Linked DNA regions of Drosophila melanogaster. The protein of the gene in region 2 purifies or fractionates together with the protein of the main gene of each other region. This does not show direct contact. Each region holds a gene or a part of one and is shown on either strand. Other genes may lie near its edges.

Region 1 (8,270 bases), on a different chromosome or scaffold from region 2:
ACCACCTGGCTGGATTGACTGCGAAATAGGGCGTAGCACCTGGATGTCCTTTTGCAGCGAGTGTCAAGCGATCCTGCGGCCAATTTACTGCGGGTACATTGCAGTATTTGCACACATTTTCGCACTGCGACGTGCGATACGGATTCGTTACAATCGGGGCCAAGCCAGAATAGCTTGTGGTACAACAGGAAAACAGTGGAGCAGGCAAACAGTCAGTGTGTCCTGTGGCCACGACAGGGATGGCTACACGTCCACGTCCTCGATGGGCAAGCCTGTCCTCTCTTGCGCTCTCGTTGGTCGCACAGGCATCCAAACAACCCCCGAAGGGTTCGCGCGAAAGCTTCGAAAGCTCAGGCGCCGAAGCTCGACGCCACCACCCATCCTTCGCATCCCTGACCAGGTATACCACATTCCGCTTATACCCTTAACTGGTCCACTGCTGTCTTGATGAGCCCATTACAACCATTGCTAAGTGGGTGCCTCAGTTAGTACCAATTGCTGCAATCTTTCCACTGACCAGCATGATCAGTTGGGAATCCATTATATATATATATATATGTATATCCTTTGCATACAACATGGTTATCCCTGTAAACATGGAAGCAAAGCTTTGGGATATGGTTTGACTCCTCGGTAGCTTCGATAGCTTTGGGTGTCTGTACAAATCGCTACAGAATGCTCCACTTACATACGTGGGCCAATGTGGGCGTGGCCATAGTTTGACGCAAAGTTGATCTGCGCGGGAAAAGCGCTTTGCAACTCCTATCTGATGGATTCTATATTTGCAGCAGGAAAACCTCTTTCTCCTTAACGAATTTTCAAGTAAATATGATATTTCAAATCTAACTTTTGAGTTTCAAGCCTAGTTTTGGATTTTAATGATCCTAAATATTGATCAATATATTGACTTTTAACCTAACTGATGCAATTATTTTCTCAGATCTTCGACTTAGAAAACTTACTTTGATGCACTTTGACTTTGAGCTGAAAGTATAAAAATCTTTCAGGCTTACGAACGGACAAATATTATAATACACAGTTTTAATTATAATACTAAAATCATAAATCATAATCATGCGTATTTGGAACCTTGTAGAAATGACCATTGAAAGCGAATAGAAACTGTGCTTAGTGCAACTGCCGTCGAGGAAAACAATGTCACAATTATTTAGTGTTTCGCATTTTACTAGGACACAAACATATACATAGATGCCGACCATAGGACATATGGGGTTACAGAGTTTTGGAATGCGGTTATGCAACGTTGCTATTACACGTTAGTACACTGAGTGACAAGCAGCTCCGATTAACAATTAACAGATCTCTCGACGAACCCGATTGGATTTTATATGTGTGCATATGCATAAATAATATATGTAGGTGGCGATTCGGCCAATACACAATATAATAATAATACGTAAATTTACAACTTATTGTTGAGCTAATCTTCAACACACGCAAATCGATAGCTCCAATTGCTTTGTGCTTATCCTATGCCATCGGATGTGCGCCATGGAACGCTTATGGAGAACGGATGATGGCCTCGTAGGCGGCGAAGATTATGTTGGCCACCTCCACGGAGCGCGATTTGAGGCTGAGAGTGGCTTCCGGATTGCCCGGCTGCAGCTTTAGCTCCAGCAGCACCCAAATGTTGTTGGTCAGCTTGAGTGACTGGTAGAGCATGTCCTGGCCCTCGACGTTACGCTTGGCGATGGTGAAGATGTTGTTGGTGGTCATCTTGGAGGCGATGCCGTCGGTAGTGCCAATTACACCGCTCAGGGTGTACTGCAGTTCGTTGGCGGCGGGGATCTCCTTCCAGGTGTTGAGGAACACGCGCTTGTCCAACTGCCCATCCTCGGCGAACAGCACGTTGCCGTGCACCAGGCACGCGAAGTAGAAGATGTCGATGTTGTTCTTCACGGCCACCTGCAAGTTGTTGAGCGGCTCCATGCGCTGAATGGGTCCGTTGGTGCCCAAGGCCATGCTGACCTCGATCGATTGGTTGGGTGGAAGGGGAGCAGCCTGCATGGGCGACGCGGGCACCAGGCCGAAGCTGTTCTTGTTCAGTTGGATGGCGAAGTTAGTCATCGGCTGCATGGCTTTGTTGGTCAGAGTCATGTCCATGAACACCTCGCCGTTGCGGCGTGAGAACGTTCCTTGTATTTCGAGTCCCTTGCCCTTCTCCGCTGGCAGCCATGTGACCTTGGGAATCTGAACACCCACCGATAGCGTTGCTCCGCCCAGTCCAAAAATGTCGCCTAGCAGGCTGGTGGCACCGCCGGGAGCCGCCTCTGCTGGCGGTCCACCGAGGAGTATATCAAGACCGCCGCCCAGAAGGTCCACATTGCTGGTGGCGGCCGGAGCAGATGGCATGGCGGGTGCGTTGATATCCATGGAGAGCAGATCTCCAATGAGCGACTCCTGGTTGGGAATGACCATTGCCTCTGAGCCGGCTGCGTTTTCTGCTTGCTCTGCACCAGCTGCAGATCCAGCGGCTCGGTTGGGCAGCGACTTGCGCACACCGGCTCCGCGACCCTCCACGAACGCGGTGGGAGGCTTATGATAAACGCTGGCCAGCGAGCTAATGTGGCAGATGAGCTCGTCCAGCAATGTCGGCTCCAAAAGGTCGGTCTCCTCTGAGATGAGTGGCTTATCGGCCAGCACCACCTCCTTGGCGGCGGCCGGGTCCGTGGACAGGAGACGCCAGTAGATGAAGCCACGGTCACGCAGATCGGGGTTGTCCGAATCCTGGGTAGCCAATGATAGTACGTGCTGCACCAGCTCCTGGGTGTCCGACGGGCGCTTGAGGAACAACTTAACCACGGCCGTCAGCAGCTGCAACTGCACCTGTGCATTTTCATCCTGGCGAAAGAGAAAATAGCAATTCAAAGTCCTGATAATGTTGGCAAATCCAGAGAAAAACTTACCTGGAATCCTTCAAGGAAGCTGTCAAGCAGCTCGTCCGCGTTGTCAATGCGCTCTGCGTACTCGCCAATGATCCAAACCATTGATGCGCGTGCCTCCGGCTCGTCCAGAGTGTCCAGATTCTCGCACAGCGTGCTGATAATGCTCTCGTACTTGTTGGGGTACTTGCGGAAGATGTCCTTGATGACCACAATGGCCTCCTGCACCACGTAGTTGACCTTGGTCTGGATAAGATCAAGCAGCGTGGACACGCAGCGTTCGGCTGAGGGCTCCACCTTAATGGCGCATCGCCCGATGGCGCGGACTGCCTTGCGCACAAAATCCACGTCCACCTCGGTGGCGTACTCCTTCAGCTCGCTAAGCACCTGGGCGATGTTGCTCTGGTTGGCCAGGCGGATCATAATGTCTAGCTTCTCCAGTTTCACGTAAATGGGATCGTTGTATTTCACGAAGAACACCTTCATTTCGTGCTTGAGAATGTCTGGCCGCTTCTGGACAATCAGATTGATGTTGCGCAGGGCCACATACTGCACCTCCGGCTCTGAGGAGAGCAACGTAACCAATGGCGGAGCCAGCTTCTTGGTGAGCGTGGCGCAAAAGTCGCTGTCGCTGGACAGCATCTCGAGCAACTTCATCAGCACCTTGACGGCGCTCAAAACGACGGCGGCGTTGGCGTGAGCCAGACGCGGAGTGATTCGCTCGCAGATGGACTGCGCCTCGCGCTCATCCTTCGGGCTGTAGTTGGCCAGCGAGTCCAGGATAAAGACCTGGCCCCACTCGGTGCACTCGTTGAGCGCCGTCAGCAGCTTGTTAATGGTGACCGAGTTCATCTCCACGAGGGGCTGGCCGGACTGACTTGCCTCGTTAATCTCGCTAAGAGCGGCCACCGCATTGGCCACCACCATGGGATTCGAGTCAGATAGCAGATCCTTCAGTTGGTCCAGAAAGCCTTGGTCCTCCACCATTGTGGCTGAAATGTCGTACAGCTTGGCCACGCACACTGCGGCCGTCTTGCGCACATACGGATCCTCGTCCTTCAGGCACTTGCGCAGCGGCTCGCACAGGTACTCGGTGATCTTGTCCACCCGAATGCAGCCCATGGTGCGCACGGCCAGCGCCCGGATAAGCGGATTGGAGTCCTCGCAGTCCTTCACGAACGTATTAACCGCCATGATGGCCATGTCCGGCTGCGATTTGGCGTAGTTCATCAGATAAAGGTAGACCAGCTTCTTCAGCTCCAGGTTGTCCGTCTGCATGCAGTTGACCACGTCCGGGAAGAGGGCGGACACGTCTTTGCCCACGGTCATGCTGGCGATCACCTTCTTCACCGCCTCCTTCTTCTTCTCCTTCTTGTCGTTATTCAGCTCCGACTTGAGCTCGAAGATCTCGCCCTTCTTGGTGGTGGTGAAGTACTTGGAATCAGTCATCGTGGCTGCTGCTCCTAGCTGCGTACTGAAATTGGAATCGAGATTGAGTTTAGAGAGGGGAACGTGGAGTTTCCGGCACAAGAAGTGCGATTATTGATTGCAATCCCCCCTCACAACACCACACCACATCTTGGGGGCGGAATCATCCGAATACCAACACATTCGCCCCTATCGCAGCTTGAACACGTCTCAAAAGGGGCCCGATTTTCGGGATGACTCAGAACTGGCCAGGGGAAAAAGAAGCCCTCAGTTGGACTGCGCCTATGCCCACTTGGGGAGACTTCTGCCAACGCAGCTTGCTTTTAATTACCTTTCAAATAGTTGATTTTCGGGCACAAAGATTTGTTAGCTTTTCTCTTCTATCTGCAATTAGTGCGACCGTTTACAGGGGAGTGACTTGTCGAAGCGCTGGTATTTTTTCTGTTTAGTATTTTGATAAATCGATTAGTTTTTGCGATTTTATCGCAAACTGATGTTTTGTGTTATTATCGAAACATTTTTAAATAAGTGGGTGCATTAAATTCCTTTTTTTTGGAAATTGGTGTTGATCAAGGTCAACATATCCTACTCGTAAAAGAGCTCAGATTAGGAAAATCATGCAGAAGATTTTTCCAGATATAAAATAAAGGACAGCCAATGAAGTAAACTGAAATCTCAATGAAAAACGAAGTCGACGCTCTCACCAGAGAGCAATATAGCGAATTAGAGTGAGATGGCTATATTACATCTGAAAAGTAACGGATCGTAAAAGCAACAGGCTAACTTTGTTATTTATAATAATGTTATACAAAATTTAATTTTCAATTGTATTTACAAATTATTTATGTTAAAAAGTTCAATATCTTCACCTAAAATTGATGTCAATATCCTTTTTCAATATTAAATTAGAATGAAAGACGGCAGTAACATGAAATAGAATATTTATTTCAATAAAATGCGCTCCTTTAAGTCTGAAAGGAAAGTACATTATGTACGAATGTTTTAATAGAAATTTTTAATTGTTCGATGCCTTATCAAAAACCGAGACTTCCGTGATCCCCCATTGAAATAAACATAATTGAATATCCTAACAATTTTATTTTTTAATATTCTCAAGAAATATCATTTAATAAGTTATTAACACATAAAACAAATCAAGAGTAGTATTGAATTAAAAAATGTTTTGTTTTCTTATATTTTAACATCATTTTCATTTCATTTGCTTTTTATCGATCCATTGAAATATATATATACATATATATATATATATATATATATCATCATTTTCACATGGGGATTTTCCCATATAAATTGTATATTAATAGTTGCATATTAACTTCATTCGCTCACGACTTTCTCATCACTTGTATCCTCTTTTCTTCTCCTCACTTTCATCTATTTTTTTTTTTTTTTTAATAAATAAGTTCGGAATAACTTTAAAAATTTTGATGTTTCATTAGTAAAAGTTGTAAAGTTCGCTATTACACCTTAATTATATACACGTTTAAATAAATCATATTCCAGTAATTCAGTCTTATGAAATAAACAAAAACTTAGGTCCGGTATATTCAGCTGGAAAATCAATCAATAAGAAAACAATCGTCCAAAGCCATTTCGAATCAATAAAACAATGAAATGCGGATTATTCCGATTTCGTTTTTTTTTTTTTCATAATCAGGCTTGGCTCCTAAGTGAACGGTCTTCTTCGTCCTTATCTTCGTTTTTATTGCTGCTCTTATTGTTGTCCGGTTCTTTTTGTTGTGTGCGTGTCTATGCGTGTTTGTGGATGCGATTAGGTTTGTTCGTCCTCTGCCTATCCAGTTTTTCTGATTCTGAGTGAGCATAGACCTTGGAGTGGATTTTATCCTCCGTTCGAGGGATTAAAAAAGTACGGAAACAATATGTGGTAGTGAAATGCATACTTTTGTTAACGGAAGCTTCTGGTTTTCCCTTTACACTTATCAATATATATATTGCACGTTATGTTGACTTGGTTGTTATTCGCTTTAAATTGGAACTGTAGAAAATCTATTAAAACTATCATATTCCCATAACATTTATCTTAATTTGGTGGTATCGAAAGAAACGAAAGGTGGAAGAGCGAGCAGCTTCAGCCCGCAGTTACTGGATTGCCTGTACTGTAACATTTGTCATTTGTTATTGGTATTGCCTATTTATGTGGGTGACCGTACATATAGTACGGATAGTACGGATTGTAACTCTTCGGAGCGCACACTCAGCGGATAATTGAGAGCCCTTTTCGCCGATGAGCACTGTAGTCCGCATAAGGAAATGAGCAAAGTTTGACCCAACTTGGTAACTAACGAAAGCAAAACATGGAACGGGACTTTAGCAATTGGTTATCGGCGATCGGTGATCGGGTATCGAAACTATCCGATGAATGTGGGCTCGCTGAGCTCCGTTACGTTTTGTATATCAACTTTAAGCTGTGTGGTAGGATATGTTATTCATTAGTTGTTACATTTGTATCTGAGTTTCGTTTCCCTTAGTTGCATTTTTCTAGTGTCTTGTTCATAAAAATATACACCTTTGGTAGTATGTACGTATAAGTTGTGTATGTACAAATCGTGTTCGGTTCTGATGTTTTGAAGCGAGTAGAGGGAGTCCTGGTGAACAAAGGCATAGATAAATATTACGTGGTGCAGGACCGTTGGGTGGCACTATATCTTAAGTAGTTGGTCCGGAAAGCTCCTCTTCGAAAACCCTAATATTGAGTGAGTGGAACATGGAACTCGTTTAGTTTCGGTCTACTGGTTCAAGAAGTGCATGGTGCATTGATTTGGCACTCGAAATTTAACAGATTCAACGGAAATGAATGGACTCGAACGAAATACATACATACATAGGTTGAAATCAAGAATCGAATGTCTTAGACGGTACGTTTGTTTTGTATATAAATAGTGTTCTTCTCTGTTGCGGGGCTAGATCGAAAGATCGAGGGCTAGCCCTAGGTTATTGAGTTTTTGTTGCAATCTTTGATATTCGCTATTCGGATTCTTTCCTGTACAAAGTCGTGAAGTACAAAAGGAATAAATTATCATAAGTATTATTATTATTATTAAAAAGGTTGATTTTGCTTTAACTTGCCATACTTGTAATTTAGCTAAAAATAGTTATGCATGGTTTGCTTGTACATAGTATATAAAGTGGAAAAAAGTATGCTTGTACTTGTACATAAATGTTTTCATTATCATATTTGCTTTTGGTTTAAATATCATTGTGTTTATACATATTTGTAGTTATGCTTGCTTTGGTTTTATCCTTGGTTTAAGTTTGAATAGTTCAATAAATATTTGGTATTCTTTGGTATTCGTCTATATGGTAATTTTTATAAATATATATGCATATTTGTATAATTTTTGCTTCGTATTCCATTAGTAAAATAAATTGTATTACAACGAATGCGAAATGCCGCTTTAAAAATGAGTTTTAGTTTAGCGCGAGCTCTAGAATAAAAAACAAATAACATTTCGAAAGAGTGTGTAAGACGGGACGGCCGTAGGCAGAGCGTACTGTACTGTAAAACCTCGCGTCCAGGCGCCGTATAAAATGCATAGCATAAATATGTAAACAACAATATCGAATCATAGGTGCATAAGGTTAGTGTTCAAGATCGTCAGGTGTCTCGTAATATCGTCAATTTGTCTATCGTCTGTCTGTCTGTGTGGCTGAGCAAATCCCGACATTGTGCAAGGATCGTCTTGGGCCAGAGGGCCAATATCATTTGGGGTTACGAACGGTGACCTCTGACCTGCTAGAGGGATCCATCCACAAGCACAGGATTTCAAGTTTGTCTCTGGTATTGGAGCGTGTCAGTGAGTGAGTGCGGTTGCGAGTGTGGGGGTGATGGTGCCTAAAATGTACAGTTGTGCATGGTAGCACCCCGACGACCCGACCACCTCACTGCCATGTGGTGTG
Region 2 (5,948 bases):
GTCGAACTTTAATGCTGACCATAATGGGTGCAGATTCTTTCATTGCACAATCATAGGCAACCACGGACAGAATGTGGTTATGAGAAGCTTTGTGAGAAAGTGGTTCAGTGTTTTTAATTGAACCTTCGTTATCTATTGAAAATGGTTCATCATTGTTAAGAATCTCATATTTGCAAACATCACCAAAGAGCGGAGTGCAGTCTTTATCGGAAGCTTCGACTCTTAGGATCTCGTTATAAAGTCTTCCCTCGTCTACTTCAATTACGTAAGACGGTTCTAAGAATGTTGGAGCATACTCATTTACGTCGATAACAGTAATATGAACATTGGCTGTATTTGAAGGTGTTCCATCACAATAGATTGCACAGATTTCAAAGTGATAACTTTTACGATTCTCGCAATTTAGTGTCCGACGTGCTTTTAAAATACCTAGGTTATTTACCAGTTCAATCTAAAATATGAAGTGCAAGTTATTACATTACTAAAAAGTAGTTAAAACTTACCTTAAATGGAATTTCGTGATACGGTTTTTTGAGAATATGGAAGTTACAAATTTTCTCTTCGTTCACTTTAATAAGGGGAGTTATTTCTACAAGTGTTTCATTTTCTCGAATTAAACCGTGATATGACTTTTCTAATATGATTTCTGAAATACAACAAGTAATTTTAATACAGCTCTTATTTTAAAGTTCTAAACCAAGGATGTTACAAAATAAACAAGAGAGAATGCTATAGTCGATTTTCCCGACTATCAGATACCCGTGTGAATGCGAAGGCGAAATATCATCATTTTTCTGGGATATCGATAGATAGTGGGGAATAAAATGAGAAAATTCAAAATTGTTCAAAAATGGGCGTGGCGGTTTTGGGCGGTTTTAGGGCGTTAGAATGAGCGTGGCAAAGTTTTTGGGCAATAAAACTTTTTAAAAATATTAACACATTTATCAAAAGTGAGGGCGCGACAGTTTTACGCGGAAGTCGGAGTGGGCTTAGCAACATGGGTCAACAAACTTGCGCTGCGTCTTTGTCTCTAGAATCTATATGCTGAACCTCAACCTTCTAGCTTTTATACTTTCTGAGATCTCGACGTTCATACGGACGGTCAGACAGACAGGGCCAGTTCGACTCGGCTATTGATCCTAATCAAGAATATATGTATATACATTATATAGTCGGAAACCCTTTTTTCTGATTGGCACATACATTTACACGAATCTAGTATAGCCTTTTACTCTACGAGTAAGATGTATAAATATTTCGATTCTGAGGTGTAATTTCAGTAAAGTAAAGGGATATACAATACCTTTCTGTGTTAAATATTCATCATCATTTTCGCTGGACGTTTCAACTCCAGCAAACAGGAGTTCAAAACATATTAATACAATGCATCCGTAACCAAAGGTTTTGTGAAACGTCATGGCTCTATTCGAAGTTCTTTAATAATCAAGCCCAAATATATTTATTTTGCTGAAAGAAAATGATTTTCATATTGAAATGCAAACACCGATTTAAGCAAAAATACCACAATTGTTTTGTTTCTTAAATTAGTGTTCTTCCTTTCTATTATTTTTAAAAGCATTAAAACTACATGAACTTACATAAATATATTGTACATATGTGTATATATTGAAGATTATATTTTATATTTTCCCAAAACTCGTATCAATAAATCTTTAAAAATCATGTACCTAGTAGATGTTTATTTTCCGTTCTTTAAGATAAAAATAATAATAATATAATACATTGCAATTTTATACTCTGTGATGACACATTCGACTTTAGAGTAGTTTTTCTTTCTAATACGTGGTAAAATAAGACAAAGTTTTGTCGTGTGTAGGCCCTACACCCTTTCGCAGTTTTTATACAATATGTTGAAAACGCGAAAACGAAATTCGACAAATTTTTTTGTTGCTTAATAAATTTTTTGCAGACACATAAAATTATATTTATTTCTGAACATTTTTTTAAGATTACACAGTCTTGCGCTTCAAGGGCTCTTATGAAAGGATAAACAATGAATGAATTTTGAGAGAAAAAGAAACGTTCAAGGAAAAGAAGTATTACAGAGTTCAGTTCATAATAATAAAAAATTAAATATTGGTTAAGCCGAGATTTTGTTTTATACTTTGGAAACACTTCTTCTTTCAAAGCACTCAATATAAATTTTCCTGATAATTTATTCTGGAAAGTATCTAGAAAACAATCCTGAGTAATGTTTACGAAAGTATTGTAATATAGTCTCGGAATATATCCAGAAGACATTTAGGGAATGCTTACAGAAGCTTTTCACGGAGTTCCTACAGCACGGGAAGTATGAAAGAGCCCGGCAAAAAGGAACACCAAATTTCCTCCTCATGAAACCACTTCCACTCGAAAAAGAGTATCGAAAGTGTTCCGGAATAATTCCACTACCGTCTCGGTGCTTCTCTACTTTTTTCGTTGGTACAATACAATAGAAAGAATGTAACCAAAGCAACAAGAATTACGGCCAATTTTTTACGTTAAATCAAAAACTTTTTAAAGTTGTTGTTGGTGTTAGAATAAAATAGATAAGTTATTCAAATTGGTTCGGATTTTCTTTAATTATATATATGTAGGACAGAAAGTGGAAAGTCTGGGAATTTTAGTAGCACTTTTTTTTAGTTAGTCTCATTTTTTGTTGATTAGCTTACAGCTCCAAAACACATTTTATTCGAGGACCGTGTATAAACTCTAGTTCCCGTGACTATATATGATTAAACATTATAAAATGTACCACAGTGAAACTGATTGTTGGATTACATATATGTATTACATTAGTATATATGAATATGCATGGATGAGAAAATCTTGTGTATGTGTTGTATCCAAGAGATACACATTCTGTAATGAACTTGGATTGCCTAACTGAACGAATAGCGAACCTATCCGAAGGGAATCATGCGTAACCTAAATACTTTGATTATAACTTTTACATATGCATAGATTTAAATCGACTCAAATATGAAATAGTACAAGTTAATTAGACGGGGCACATTAACAAAATCTCAGAAAATAATTTTTTTTGTTTCATTACATAGTTTCTTACTTTTGTCAGCAAAATAATTACTTGTGACGTTTGAAAAACTAGTTGTAAGTTTAAATACAGAAGTCAATACACTGGAAACGTTTATCCGACATTTTCAGATCCTTGTGTGGAAGTGGTTAATACTTGAAAAGTGATTAAAAAAAACAACATATAAGGCCCTGTGGAGACTATGCTCTAACATTTTAATCGAATTTTAAGTGATACCATGGTTTGTTTAAAAGGAAAGTTAAGGGGTGCTTACGCTGTTTTGATTTACAAATGACTGGAATTTTTGGGTAGGATATTTTCATATATAGATATTTTGATTCCTTGATATCCCAAGACTCAACATTTTTTTTTTATTTTTGATCAGAGGCAGAATATTTATGTTGTTAACTATTGCAAATCGCAACCAAAATATAGTGATTGTCATTTATCTTGGCCTGATATCGACATATTGGCAATAGCAGACCTTTGATTAATAAAAATGTCTTAATTTTTGGTTAATAGAGAGGAAGAACCTAAGTTTTTTGTTTTCAGGCAGCTTTATAGTGTTTGAAAAATTTGTAACATCGTTTTTAAATTTGATTTTTAAATTTGATTTGAAAAAGTTGTTTTGGCAATTAGAATTCGCGAATAATACCATAGTCCTACAGAGCACATTCGTAAAAAACAGTTGTGATTTTTAAAAATTGTGTAACTCCGAGTCTAAGTTATATGCTCACTAACCCCTTGGGGGCAGCCTTTCTAGGTCAATTTAAATATTTCACTTAAAAAATGTACACGAAAATGGTTTTATCGACATTCGACTTAATGGCGCAGTCAAAACATTGTATTATCGATGTAGTTTTGTGTTTCTTTTTATTGTTTTCATCAGACCATGCTTAGGGTATAGTCAACATACTGTTATTAGTATTTTATAGAAAACAGTATTTTTAACCATCGTTTAACTTTTCTGAAAAGTACAGCATTATTAATCGAATGACTAGTTTACACGTCAATTTACTGAAGTTACTGAAGACAAGCTTTTTCCTATACGAAATAAAATAGTTTCTTATTAAACATGGGACTAACAATATCTAGTCTTTTGACACGTTTGTTTGGAAAAAAACAAATGCGTATTCTTATGGGTATGTTCAAAATACGATACACTAAATATAAGCCTTTAGTTCGCGCATAATTTTTAAGTACTTGCAATCAACGTGCACATAATTTTAAATATTTTTGTACGCAGTTGGCTTGGATGCTGCTGGAAAAACGACTATTCTGTACAAATTAAAGCTGGGTGAAATTGTAACCACCATACCAACCATAGGCTTCAATGTCGAGACTGTGGAATATAAGAATATATGTTTTACCGTTTGGGATGTTGGTGGCCAAGACAAAATTCGCCCGTTGTGGCGACACTATTTCCAAAATACACAGGGTCTTATATTTGTAGTGGATTCCAACGACCGCGATCGTATAACTGAAGCTGAAAGAGAACTACAGAACATGGTACTCATTTTATTTAATTAAAAGTATATACATACGTGTCAACCAATTCCATGTTTATTTTTCCCACAGCTCCAGGAGGATGAACTTAGGGACGCGGTACTTTTGGTTTTTGCCAACAAACAGGACCTACCGAATGCAATGACAGCTGCCGAGCTTACGGACAAGTTGCGCCTTAACCAATTAAGGAATCGCCACGTATGTCTTAGGGGTAATTGTCCCAAAAATGTTTACTTATATCTACCCATTTTTAGTGGTTTATTCAGTCTACATGTGCTACCCAAGGGCACGGTCTTTATGAAGGACTTGATTGGCTATCAGCTGAATTGGCTAAAAAATAAAAATATTCCTTATATTGTAAGATAGGAATTGCTGTTCTCGTATGCTGAAAACTAGATTTTAAATAAACTTGTAAATGTATATAAACTCGTTTGGAACTTTGTTGTAAATTTAAAATGTCCACGTTTTATGTGTTGGTGAGAAAACTGCACTTGCCTTAGTTGTATTTTTAAAAATTAGTGATCGGATAACTAATAAAAATATATTTTTAACTTACTTATTCGGGAAAATATATGTTCGTTTTTTTATTAGTATGCCTCAATACCATTACCAGAATTCAATCAAATAAACATATTTTTGATTCGTACTCATTTATGTTAATTCAGTTTTTAATAGCCACCAGATTTGTTGAAAACTACGTAACTGTTAGCAGAAGCGTTTCCGACCTTAGAAAGAATATATATTCCTGATCAGGACCAATATCCGAGTTGATCTGGGCATGTCCGTATGAACGCCTCGGTCTCAGGAACTATTAAAGGTAGGGAATTGAGATTAGACATGCAGATTCTATGTCCGTATGAAGAGAACTATTAAAGGTAGAGAATTGAGATTAGACATGCAGCTTCCAGAGGTATTTACGGAGAGAAAACTTTTGATATTTTAAAATATTTTTATTAGTCTTGTAACCCAAAATCCCCAAAACCCCCCACCCAAAATCGCTCAAACATGCCGAACATTCTTAAAAAATTGGTTATTCTTATTGAAATCTTTCACACTTCCTGCTGAGTAAATGGTATCTGATTCTCGTGGAATTCGAGAAAGAATTCGACAAAATATAAAACTATGAAAAAATATCGAAAGTTTTTTAAAAATGTGGTCGAGGCCGTTTTGGGTGGTTTTATTGCGTTAGAGTGCGAGTGGCCAAAATTTTTTTTGGCAAATCGATAGAAATTTACAAGACTAATAAAAATATCAAAACATATTTCAAAAGTGTGGACAGTTTTGGCCAGTTTGTTTGCGTCAAAATTGGCTTGGCAACATCGGCCAACAAACTTGCGCTGCGTCTATGTCTCTAGAATCTGTATGCTTAATCTTAATCTTCTAGCTTTTATAGTTCGTGAGGTGTCTA
Region 3 (8,810 bases), on a different chromosome or scaffold from region 2:
AACTCCTTGTGAAATGAGAGTTTTAGTAATTGAGAGCAGATATTACCATTAGTGTATTAAACATAATCTCAGTATTATAAGAGCACGATCAATGGGTTTCAGATATTTATTGTTGATTTACTTAGATGTTACTTAAAGCTATGAGGGTAATATATAGCACTACCATCCCATTGGTCCTCTAGGCAGACCAGGCCCACCTCTGTGATGGTGATCCTCGGGTGGAGTCTGGGGCGTGTGGTAGATTCTCCTGGACTCAGCCATGCGCTGGTTGTAGCTTTGAATCTGCTCCTGCAGCTGAGCATCCTCCTGCTGGGCTCGTTGTTCATCGAACTCCAGGCAGGCAGCGCCATCCAGTCGGTCCAGATCCACCCAGCCCCGGAAGCGGACGCACACCCCGTTCATGATGAAACTAGAACGCAAATGAACTTTGCCCCGCTCCCGCTCGAAATCGCAATCCTGCTCCTGGGCGTACGGATTGTGGTTGGCGTTGAAGTAGAGCTGCAGATTAGTTCCTGAAGCTACCATCGATATCTCCGCATAGCCCTTGCGGCAGTCGTTGACAAACCGCATCCTGCGCTCCTCCATTGCACGTTCCCGGTATCCTGTGTAGCGAACCTCGCTCTCCCTACTCAATCGGCGGAAGAGCTCGTCGCTATCGAACTTGGACCTCTGGTCAGGCACCACGCGGGGCATCTTGAAGATGAATCTGGGCTTGGGCTGCTCGTACATAGCCATGGCTTCGTATGGCGGGATCATTCCATTCATGGCGGCCGCGTCTCCGAGATTCTGGTGATGATGCATGTCTAATGTTATAACTGTATTCTCCGAAAGATATAGTTGTACTGATCAATGTTAAAATTGACCGCCTTATTTAAACAAAAAAAAAAAGTTGTAGAACAGGTAATCGGGAGCGATTGGGCTACCTAACGAATCCCCTAATTGTCGCCTGGTAATCAAGGATGGAAACCATCTGGACACAATAAGGATCAGGTATAGCACTTATAAGTATCCTATTTGAGGTTTGTTTTATAATCCGTAGGGTTTTTACAGCTCCGAATATTATACTTTGAGGATTGCAGGTATAATGCTATCATAAATAAAACGAACGAATTGAACGCACTATATAATTTTAAGTTTAAATTCGAAATTACGTTTTAGCGGTAATTTTAACAGTGTTGGTTAGCACAGCGCTTAAGCAAAGGGAGTTGCCAACCATGGCAGCCCAAGCAGGTGACAACTCTAGAGTCCGGGCACATTAAACAGCTGTTGTGTATTGTATTGTTTAACTTTAGCAATTTTATAAACATGTCGCTTGTTGCTTATGCTGCCAGTTCTGATGAAGATTCGGAGAACGAAGAGGAAAATTCTGTACCACAAGTGGAAGTAATAAAACCCCAAGCCAAGCCGAGCACACCAAGTGAAGCGTATCTAGCTCGGGAATCAACCAGTGGTCACATTAGTGATGAAGATGACGACTACGTTCCCCAGGAAGTGTCCCTTCAGGAGTTAAAGCCGCCCAACGGAAGACTGCTATTAGCCTTACCCAAACCAAAAGTCACTGCTCCCGCTAAGGATCTGGAAAATGAGGATGTGGACAACCAGGTTACTTCCGCCTTTGCCAACCTGCCCATGCCACGAACAGCAGCGAAAGGAAAAGCCATTGTAGAGGAGAAAGACGATGAGTTTCTGCACAAAAAGGCGCTGCCCGTAGAAATAGAGAAACCTCCACCGCCGCCAGTCAAGGGAAAAGTAAAAATCAGCATTCCTTCACTAAGAGATTTCTCAGATGTAGACCAGGAGAAAGCTGACAGGGCTAAGAACAAAGTTGATAAGCCCAATGTACCCAAGGGATCGGGATTGTTGAGTCTGCTGCCCCAAGCAAAGTCGGAGCGCAACTTCTCCAAGAACTCTTCATCCGCGGTAGCCTACCCATCAGCCAGCACTACTCTTGCTTCCAGTCTAAGCAATAATCCTGCGCAGCCTCGAGCAGCACCAGCTTTTGTTCCCGATACAGTTAAGCAGCGACGAGCTGCACACAACACCGAAGGCGTAGATGGCCCTAAGGCCGGGCACAAGAAGAATCCTGAGACAAAAGACGCTTTGAAGTCAACAAAATCCAAACCTATAAGTAAACCCACTTCGCTGGTAAATGCCAGCGATAGTGAAGATGATGACGAAGATGGCACTGGAGACTTTTTCTCCCTGAATTCCGAGCAAAAGCTGCCTGAGGTGAGCAGCAACGAGATTAGCGCTCTAGTGGCCAAGCGAGCGGCCAAGATGGTGGAAGCCAGTAGCAAGTACCTAGAGGAGGTAGCCGAGAAGGAAGCAGCCGAAGCAGAAGCCGCCCGACTTCAGGAAGAGCAGTCTCAGATTGCACAAAAGCGCTACCATGAGCAACAGTTAAACGCAGAGGCCATGGACGCATTGGTGGGCAAAAATGCCAAGCGCCGGCGGAAGGAGGCCAAGGAGATGCAGGTGATCGACATATCTGGGTCTCAGGTGCTACCTGATCGCGAGGAATGGATGCGATCGGCTCTGGCTTCGTCCACCACCTTCCAACCGACCGGCGTGCTGACGGACGAGGAGCCGGTGGCAGGGACTCGGCGCAAGCACCAGATCACCTACCTGGCGCACAAGGCGAAGGCCAACGAAGCCGAGCTGCAGGCCATGTGGTCGGCCAACCGGCAGACCCGTCGGGCCACCCAAAGCAAATACGGCTTTTGAGTTTTCACTTTATGTACACCTAATCCTACAATATATGCTTAATATTACTGTATCCAGCCCTCTCGTTTTCCCAGCCTGCTGCCAACATAGAAGATGGCGGTGCTCAGCAGCAGGATGACCGGGGCAACGGTCACGTATATGGGAATCTGTTGCGGGTACTCCAGCGTTAGGCAGATCATCACTTGGGAGGCGATGGTCAGCAGGACGCCGGCAATGTTCCATTTGTAGAGGAACAGGAGATCCGTCAGGCAGGTTAGGTTCCGCCACTTGCGGATAAATTTAATGATCACGTAGATGATAATGATCACATCGAAGAACCAGAGTGGCGTAAAGGTGACGAACCAATTCCAGGTGGTGCGTGGGTCCAGGCGGAGACACAGAAGAATCAGGAAGACCAGGACGATAAACCAAGTGAAGAGCGCCCGGTGTGCCAGTGTCATCTTTGTCACTTATTTATATATTTTCCATGGTATTACAGAAAATAAACAAAGCGAAGTTACCGTGAATAGAATGCACTTTGTCCAGTGCTGTAAAACTACGATTACAGTGGTCACTAAAAGTGTTCGTAGAAATACATTTACCAACTCAATTTTCGAATATTATTGACGAAGATTAAATATATTCAAAAATATCACGTAAAATCTGTATATTTAACTATATAAAGAAGACTGGAGAGCATGATAATTCATTCATATTCATGTGTGTACTTTTGAAAACTTATGGTTCCCAGTGTATGCACATCTGCCAACGCTGGCAACACTGACTGGGTCGCGAAGAAGAAGATAATTGACGTGTCACAATTTCGACGATTGGTTGGTGTTTTTCATAAAATTAATTGTTGGCAGTATATTACGTGTTACTTGTAGCGTATCAATAAAATGGGTTTGTTCTAACACCCACCTCTTGATGTTTTGATACAGGCAAGTGCTCGAACCAGCAAAAAAAGGGCGCTTGACGGATAAGCCGACACCTAGAAGTGCATCCAATTTGAGACACCTACAGGCAGAACAGAAAAAGTGCCACCATGCTGACCAACTTCGAGTCGAAGTCGGCGAGGGTGAAGGGCCTCTCCTTCCACCCTAAGCGCCCCTGGATCCTGGTCAGCTTGCACAGCGGCGTCATCCAGCTGTGGGACTACCGGATGCACACGCTCCTCGAGAAGTTCGACGAGCACGACGGACCGGTGCGAGGCGTGGCCTTCCACCAGCAGATGCCGCTCTTCGTCTCTGGCGGCGACGACTACAAGATCAAGGTGTGGAACTACAAGCAACGCCGATGCATTTTTACCCTCCTGGCCCATTTGGACTATGTGCGCACGGTGGCTTTCCACCACGAATACCCATGGATTCTGAGCGCCTCCGACGATCAGACCATACGCATCTGGAACTGGCAGTCGCGCAACTGCATCTGCGTGCTGACGGGCCACAACCACTATGTGATGTGCGCCCAGTTCCATCCCACGGAGGATCAGATCGTTTCTGCTTCACTCGATCAGACGGTGCGCGTGTGGGACATTTCGGGGCTGCGTAAGAAGAACGTGGCTCCCGGGCCCGGTGGGCTTGATGACCACCTAAAGGGTCATCCGGGTGCCACTGATCTGTTTGGCCAAGCAGATGCCGTGGTCAAGCACGTGCTCGAGGGCCACGACCGTGGCGTCAACTGGGCCAGTTTCCATCCCACCCTGCCGCTGATTGTCTCCGGTGCCGATGATCGCCTTGTGAAGTTGTGGCGCATGAACGAGTACAAGGCTTGGGAGGTCGACACCTGTCGCGGTCACTACAACAACGTGTCCAGCGTGTTGTTCCATCCCAGGCAAGACCTGATTCTCTCCAACGGCGAAGATCGCAGTATTCGCGTCTGGGACATGACCAAGCGCCAGTGCCTCTTTACATTCCGGCGGGACAACGAGCGCTTCTGGATACTTACAGCGCATCCGACCCTGAATCTGTTTGCAGCTGGCCACGATGGAGGTTAGTTGATTTCTTTTAGGAATAGGAATTTTTTGTAATGATACATATTCTTTCAGGTATGGTGGTCTTTAAACTGGAGCGAGAGCGTCCTGCATATGCTGTCCACGGGAATATTCTCTACTACGTCAAGGAACGTTTCCTTCGCAAACTGGACTTTACCACCACTAAGGACACTGTGGTTATGCAGCTTCGACCAGGCAAGTCGCCGGTGTACAGCATGTCGTACAACCCAGCACTGAACGCCGTGCTAATCTGCACGCGCACCAACAACCTGGAGAACAGCACCTACGATCTTTGCCAAATCCCCAAGGACACCGAGAGCCAAAGTGAGTCGGACAGCAAGCGAAGCTCTGGAATCACGGCCATCTGGGTGGCACGCAATCGGTTTGCAGTGCTTGATCGCAACCAGCAGTTGGTGATCAAGAACTTCAAGAATGAGGTGACCAAGAAGTTGCCAACTTTCTGCGAGGAGATCTTCTATGCCGGTACGGGAATGCTGCTCATTCGGGACCCTGAGTTTGTCACACTGTACGAAGTTCAGCGCCTAGTCTCCGTTGGAAGCATTAAACTGGCCAAGTGCCGCTACGTGGTGTGGTCTCCGGACATGTCCTTGGTCGCTCTACTCTGCAAGCACTCGGTTACAATCTGCGACCGAAGACTTCAGTACTTGTGCACCGTGCAGGAGAACTGCCGCGTGAAGTCTGGCGCCTGGGACGAGTCTGGAGTGTTTATCTACACCACTAGCAACCACATTAAGTACGCCATTACAAACGGGGACCACGGCATCATCCGTACGCTGGACCTACCCATTTATCTGACACGCGTCAAGGGCAACCAAGTGTTCTGCTTGGACCGGGAGTGCCGCACCCGTGTGCTCCACATCGATCCTACGGAGTACAAGTTTAAGCTTGCCCTGATTCAACGCAAGTACGATGAAGTACTGCATATGGTGAGAAATGCCCGCCTAGTGGGTCAGAGCATCATTGCTTACCTGCAGCAAAAGGGTTATCCAGAGGTGGCACTGCATTTTGTCAAGGATGAGAAAACCCGATTTGGACTCGCTCTGGAGTGCGGTAACATCGAAATTGCTCTCGAAGCAGCCAAGGCTCTCGATGACAAGGATTGCTGGGATCGCCTGGGACAGAGTGCGCTGCTCCAAGGAAACCACCAGGTGGTAGAGATGTGCTACCAGCGGACCAAGAACTTTGACAAGCTTAGCTTCCTCTACCTGATCACCGGCAACTTGGAGAAGCTCAAGAAGATGAACAAGATTGCCGAGATTCGCAAGGATGTTTCCGCCCAGTACCAGGGTGCCCTCCTTCTCGGTGACGTCAAGGAGCGGGTAAACATCCTCAAAAACTGCGGACAACTTTCGTTAGCTTATCTCACAGCCGCTACTCATGGATTCGATGAGCTCACTGAGTCCCTGGGCGAATCGATAACCTCGCAGGGTAACAGCCTTCCCGAGGTGAATCCCAATGCCCAGTTGTTGCAGCCACCAGTGCCCATCCAGCAGCTTGAAACCAATTGGCCGTTGCTGTCCGTGTCCAAGGGCTTCTTTGAAGGCGCCATGGTCACCAGGGCTGGCTCCAGTGCCACTGCCCGACAGGCGCTGAACATCAACGCCGATGCTGCACTGTTGGACGAGCATAATGGTGGTGGAGATGGTTGGGGAGCGGATGCCGACTTGGGACTAGATGAAGACGGAGATGACGAGATGCACGACGCGCTGAGCAACGATGGCGATGGTGGTGCGGGTGGAGAGGAGGGTGCCGGCTGGGATGTGGGCGATGATGACCTGGTTGTGCCCGAGGAACTGGCCTCCAAGATCAAGGCCTCAGCCCTCGACAGCAACTACTATGCGGCTCCCAACAAAGGCTTGTCTCCTGCCCAACAATGGGCCAACAACTCGCCTCTGGTCCTGGACCATGTCAAGGCCGGATCATTCGAAACCGCCTTCCGTTTACTGCACGATCAGCTGGGAGTGGTCAATTTCCAGCCATTCAAGACACTCTTCCTGCAGAACTACGCCTGCTCTCGAACGAGCTACACGGCCAATCCGAATCTGCAATCCCTAAGTGGTTACCCACTTCGCAACTACTCCGAGACAAACATCAAGCTGCAGCGTCCTGCGGTTGGCATTAAACTGAATGATTTGGTGGCACGCCTGCAAGCTGGGTACCAACTGACAACTTCTGGAAAGTTCTCCGAGGCAGTAGAGAAGTTCCATTCCATCTTGATTAGCATCCCACTGCTGGTAGTGGACACGAAGCTAGATGCGGCGGAGGCCCAGCAACTCTTAAGGATCTGCGCTGAGTATATCGTTGGCCTGAAGATGGAGACTGTGCGCAAGGGCATGCCCAAGTCGACGCTTGAGGAGCAAAAGCGTCTGTGCGAGATGGCCGCCTACTTCACGCACTGCAAGCTTCAGCCCGTGCACCAAATCCTCACCCTGCGTACCGCCCTCAATATGTTCTTCAAGCTGAAGAACTACAAGACGGCCGCCTCATTTGCCCGTCGTCTCCTGGAACTGGCGCCACGACCGGACGTTGCCCAGCAGGTGCGCAAGATCCTGCAGGCCTGCGAGGTAAATCCCGTGGACGAGCATCAGCTGCAGTACGAGGAGTTTAATCCGTTCACAATCTGCGGCATCAGCTGGAAGCCACTGTATAGGGGTAAACCCGAAGTGACCTGTCCCTTCTGCTCCTCCTCTTTCGACCCTCAGTTCAAGGGCAATCTCTGCACAGTTTGCGAAGTGAGCCAGATCGGCAAGGATAGCATTGGCCTGCGCATTTCAAACCTGCAATTCCGCTAGGACGGACTAGCTTGTCGCTTTTAATATAAATGTTTCCAACACGCCGAGCGAGACCCCATAGTTTAGTTTTACACGATCCTTGCTTATTATGTATAAAGTTCAGTATCTGTATATTATAATGCTATAAAATCAAACCAAACGACTTGTTTTCTTGATCGATACCTAGCCTCGGTAGGCAATTCCCAGTGAAGAGTCTTAGTCACTCTGCTTAAAGGTGGAAATTCCAAAATGAACAATGCCATATAGATTAGTAATTATGTATTTTAGTTAAAGATACGACACTAATTTCACACTAAGTTGTAAGTATAATACCATAAAAGCATACGTAAAGTAAGCATTACATCTAACACTAATCTAGGAGCATAATTATTCGAGCGTGTCTAACGTAATCGTATTGAAATCTCTCAAGTGAAAGCCCTCTTAAGGGGTTCGGAGCATTCTCAGTTGTCCATGAAATATTGAGTATTCGCGAATTGAGTCTCTAACTGCTGGTGATGCGTCTGCTGCTGCTGGGGAGGCAGCTGCGGATGGGACGGCCCAGGAGCCGTCCACAGGTCCAACTAACGACGCCACATGCTGGCGCCAACGCCAATGCCTCCGGAGGCCACGCCCCGTCGCACTGCCTCCATCTCGTCCTGTCGATTGTCACGGTAGGCGCGCTTAGTGTCCTCGAACTCACGCAGTCGCTGGTTGTAGCGATCGATCTGATCCCGCAGAATGGCGTCCTCGTGCATGGCGCGCCGCTCGTCATACTCCAGACAGCCAACTCCGTCCAGTCGTTCCAGGTCTATCCATCCACGGAACCGGACACAAACCCCGTTCATGATAAAGTAGGACTTGATGTGCACCTTGCCGTGCTCCTTGTCAAAGTCGCACTCCTTGTCGTGCAGGTACGGGTTCTGGTTGGCGTTGAACACCAGCTGCAGATTGGTGCCCGATGCCACGAAGCTGGCCTCCGTGTGTCCTTCGCGACATCCGTTCATGAAGCGCACCTGCCGCTCCTCGATGCTTCGTTCCCGATAGCCCGTGTACCGAACCTCGCTCTCCCGACTGAGCCTCCGGAAAAGTTCGTCGCTCTCGAACTTGGACTTCTGGTCCGGGACCACACGAGGCATCTTGAAGATGAAGCGCGGCTTTGGCTGTTCATACAATCCGATGGTGTCGTAGGGTATCATATTGGCAAGTGCCGCCTCGTTCATCATTTTAACGGGTTTTCGCGATTCGTCCGCTCGATGGAACGCTGAATAGGGTATGTTTCTATGGGTGCTTCTGCAGACCGCTGCGTGCACACAATAATCCCT

The links. The genes of interacting proteins can lie anywhere in the genome.
Region 1: the proteins of Arf4 (region 2) and AP-1-2beta purify together in Drosophila melanogaster (affinity purification with mass spectrometry, with the first as the bait; one study listed by BioGRID). This does not show direct contact.
Region 3: the proteins of Arf4 (region 2) and alphaCOP purify together in Drosophila melanogaster (affinity purification with mass spectrometry, with the first as the bait; one study listed by BioGRID). This does not show direct contact.

What each region holds. Positions count from the first base shown.
Region 1 is NC_004354.4:19,727,482-19,735,751, reverse strand, and holds AP-1-2beta (adaptor protein complex 1/2, beta subunit), read right to left. Parts: upstream 4,749-8,270; 5' UTR 4,663-4,748; intron 4,378-4,662; 5' UTR 4,353-4,377; coding exon 2,928-4,352; intron 2,863-2,927; coding exon 1,522-2,862; 3' UTR 1,171-1,521; downstream 1-1,170.
Region 2 is NC_004353.4:1,120,156-1,126,103, forward strand, and holds Arf4 (ADP ribosylation factor 4), read left to right. Parts: upstream 1-4,011; 5' UTR 4,012-4,109; coding exon 4,110-4,176; intron 4,177-4,280; coding exon 4,281-4,543; intron 4,544-4,612; coding exon 4,613-4,738; intron 4,739-4,794; coding exon 4,795-4,881; 3' UTR 4,882-5,170; downstream 5,171-5,948. Other genes in the region: Cals (calsyntenin), read right to left, coding at 1-451, 504-646, 1,304-1,418. UniProt on the Drosophila melanogaster protein: GTP-binding protein involved in protein trafficking; may modulate vesicle budding and uncoating within the Golgi apparatus.
Region 3 is NT_037436.4:1,639,896-1,648,705, reverse strand, and holds alphaCOP (coat protein (coatomer) alpha), read left to right. Parts: upstream 1-3,506; 5' UTR 3,507-3,536; exon of another isoform or gene 3,537-3,644; 5' UTR 3,645-3,748; coding exon 3,749-4,694; intron 4,695-4,750; coding exon 4,751-7,509; 3' UTR 7,510-7,640; downstream 7,641-8,810. Other genes in the region: Bro (brother), read right to left, coding at 160-801; CG17249 (uncharacterized protein), read left to right, coding at 1,306-2,724; CG13919 (uncharacterized protein), read right to left, coding at 2,769-3,164; Bgb (Big brother), read right to left, coding at 8,070-8,711.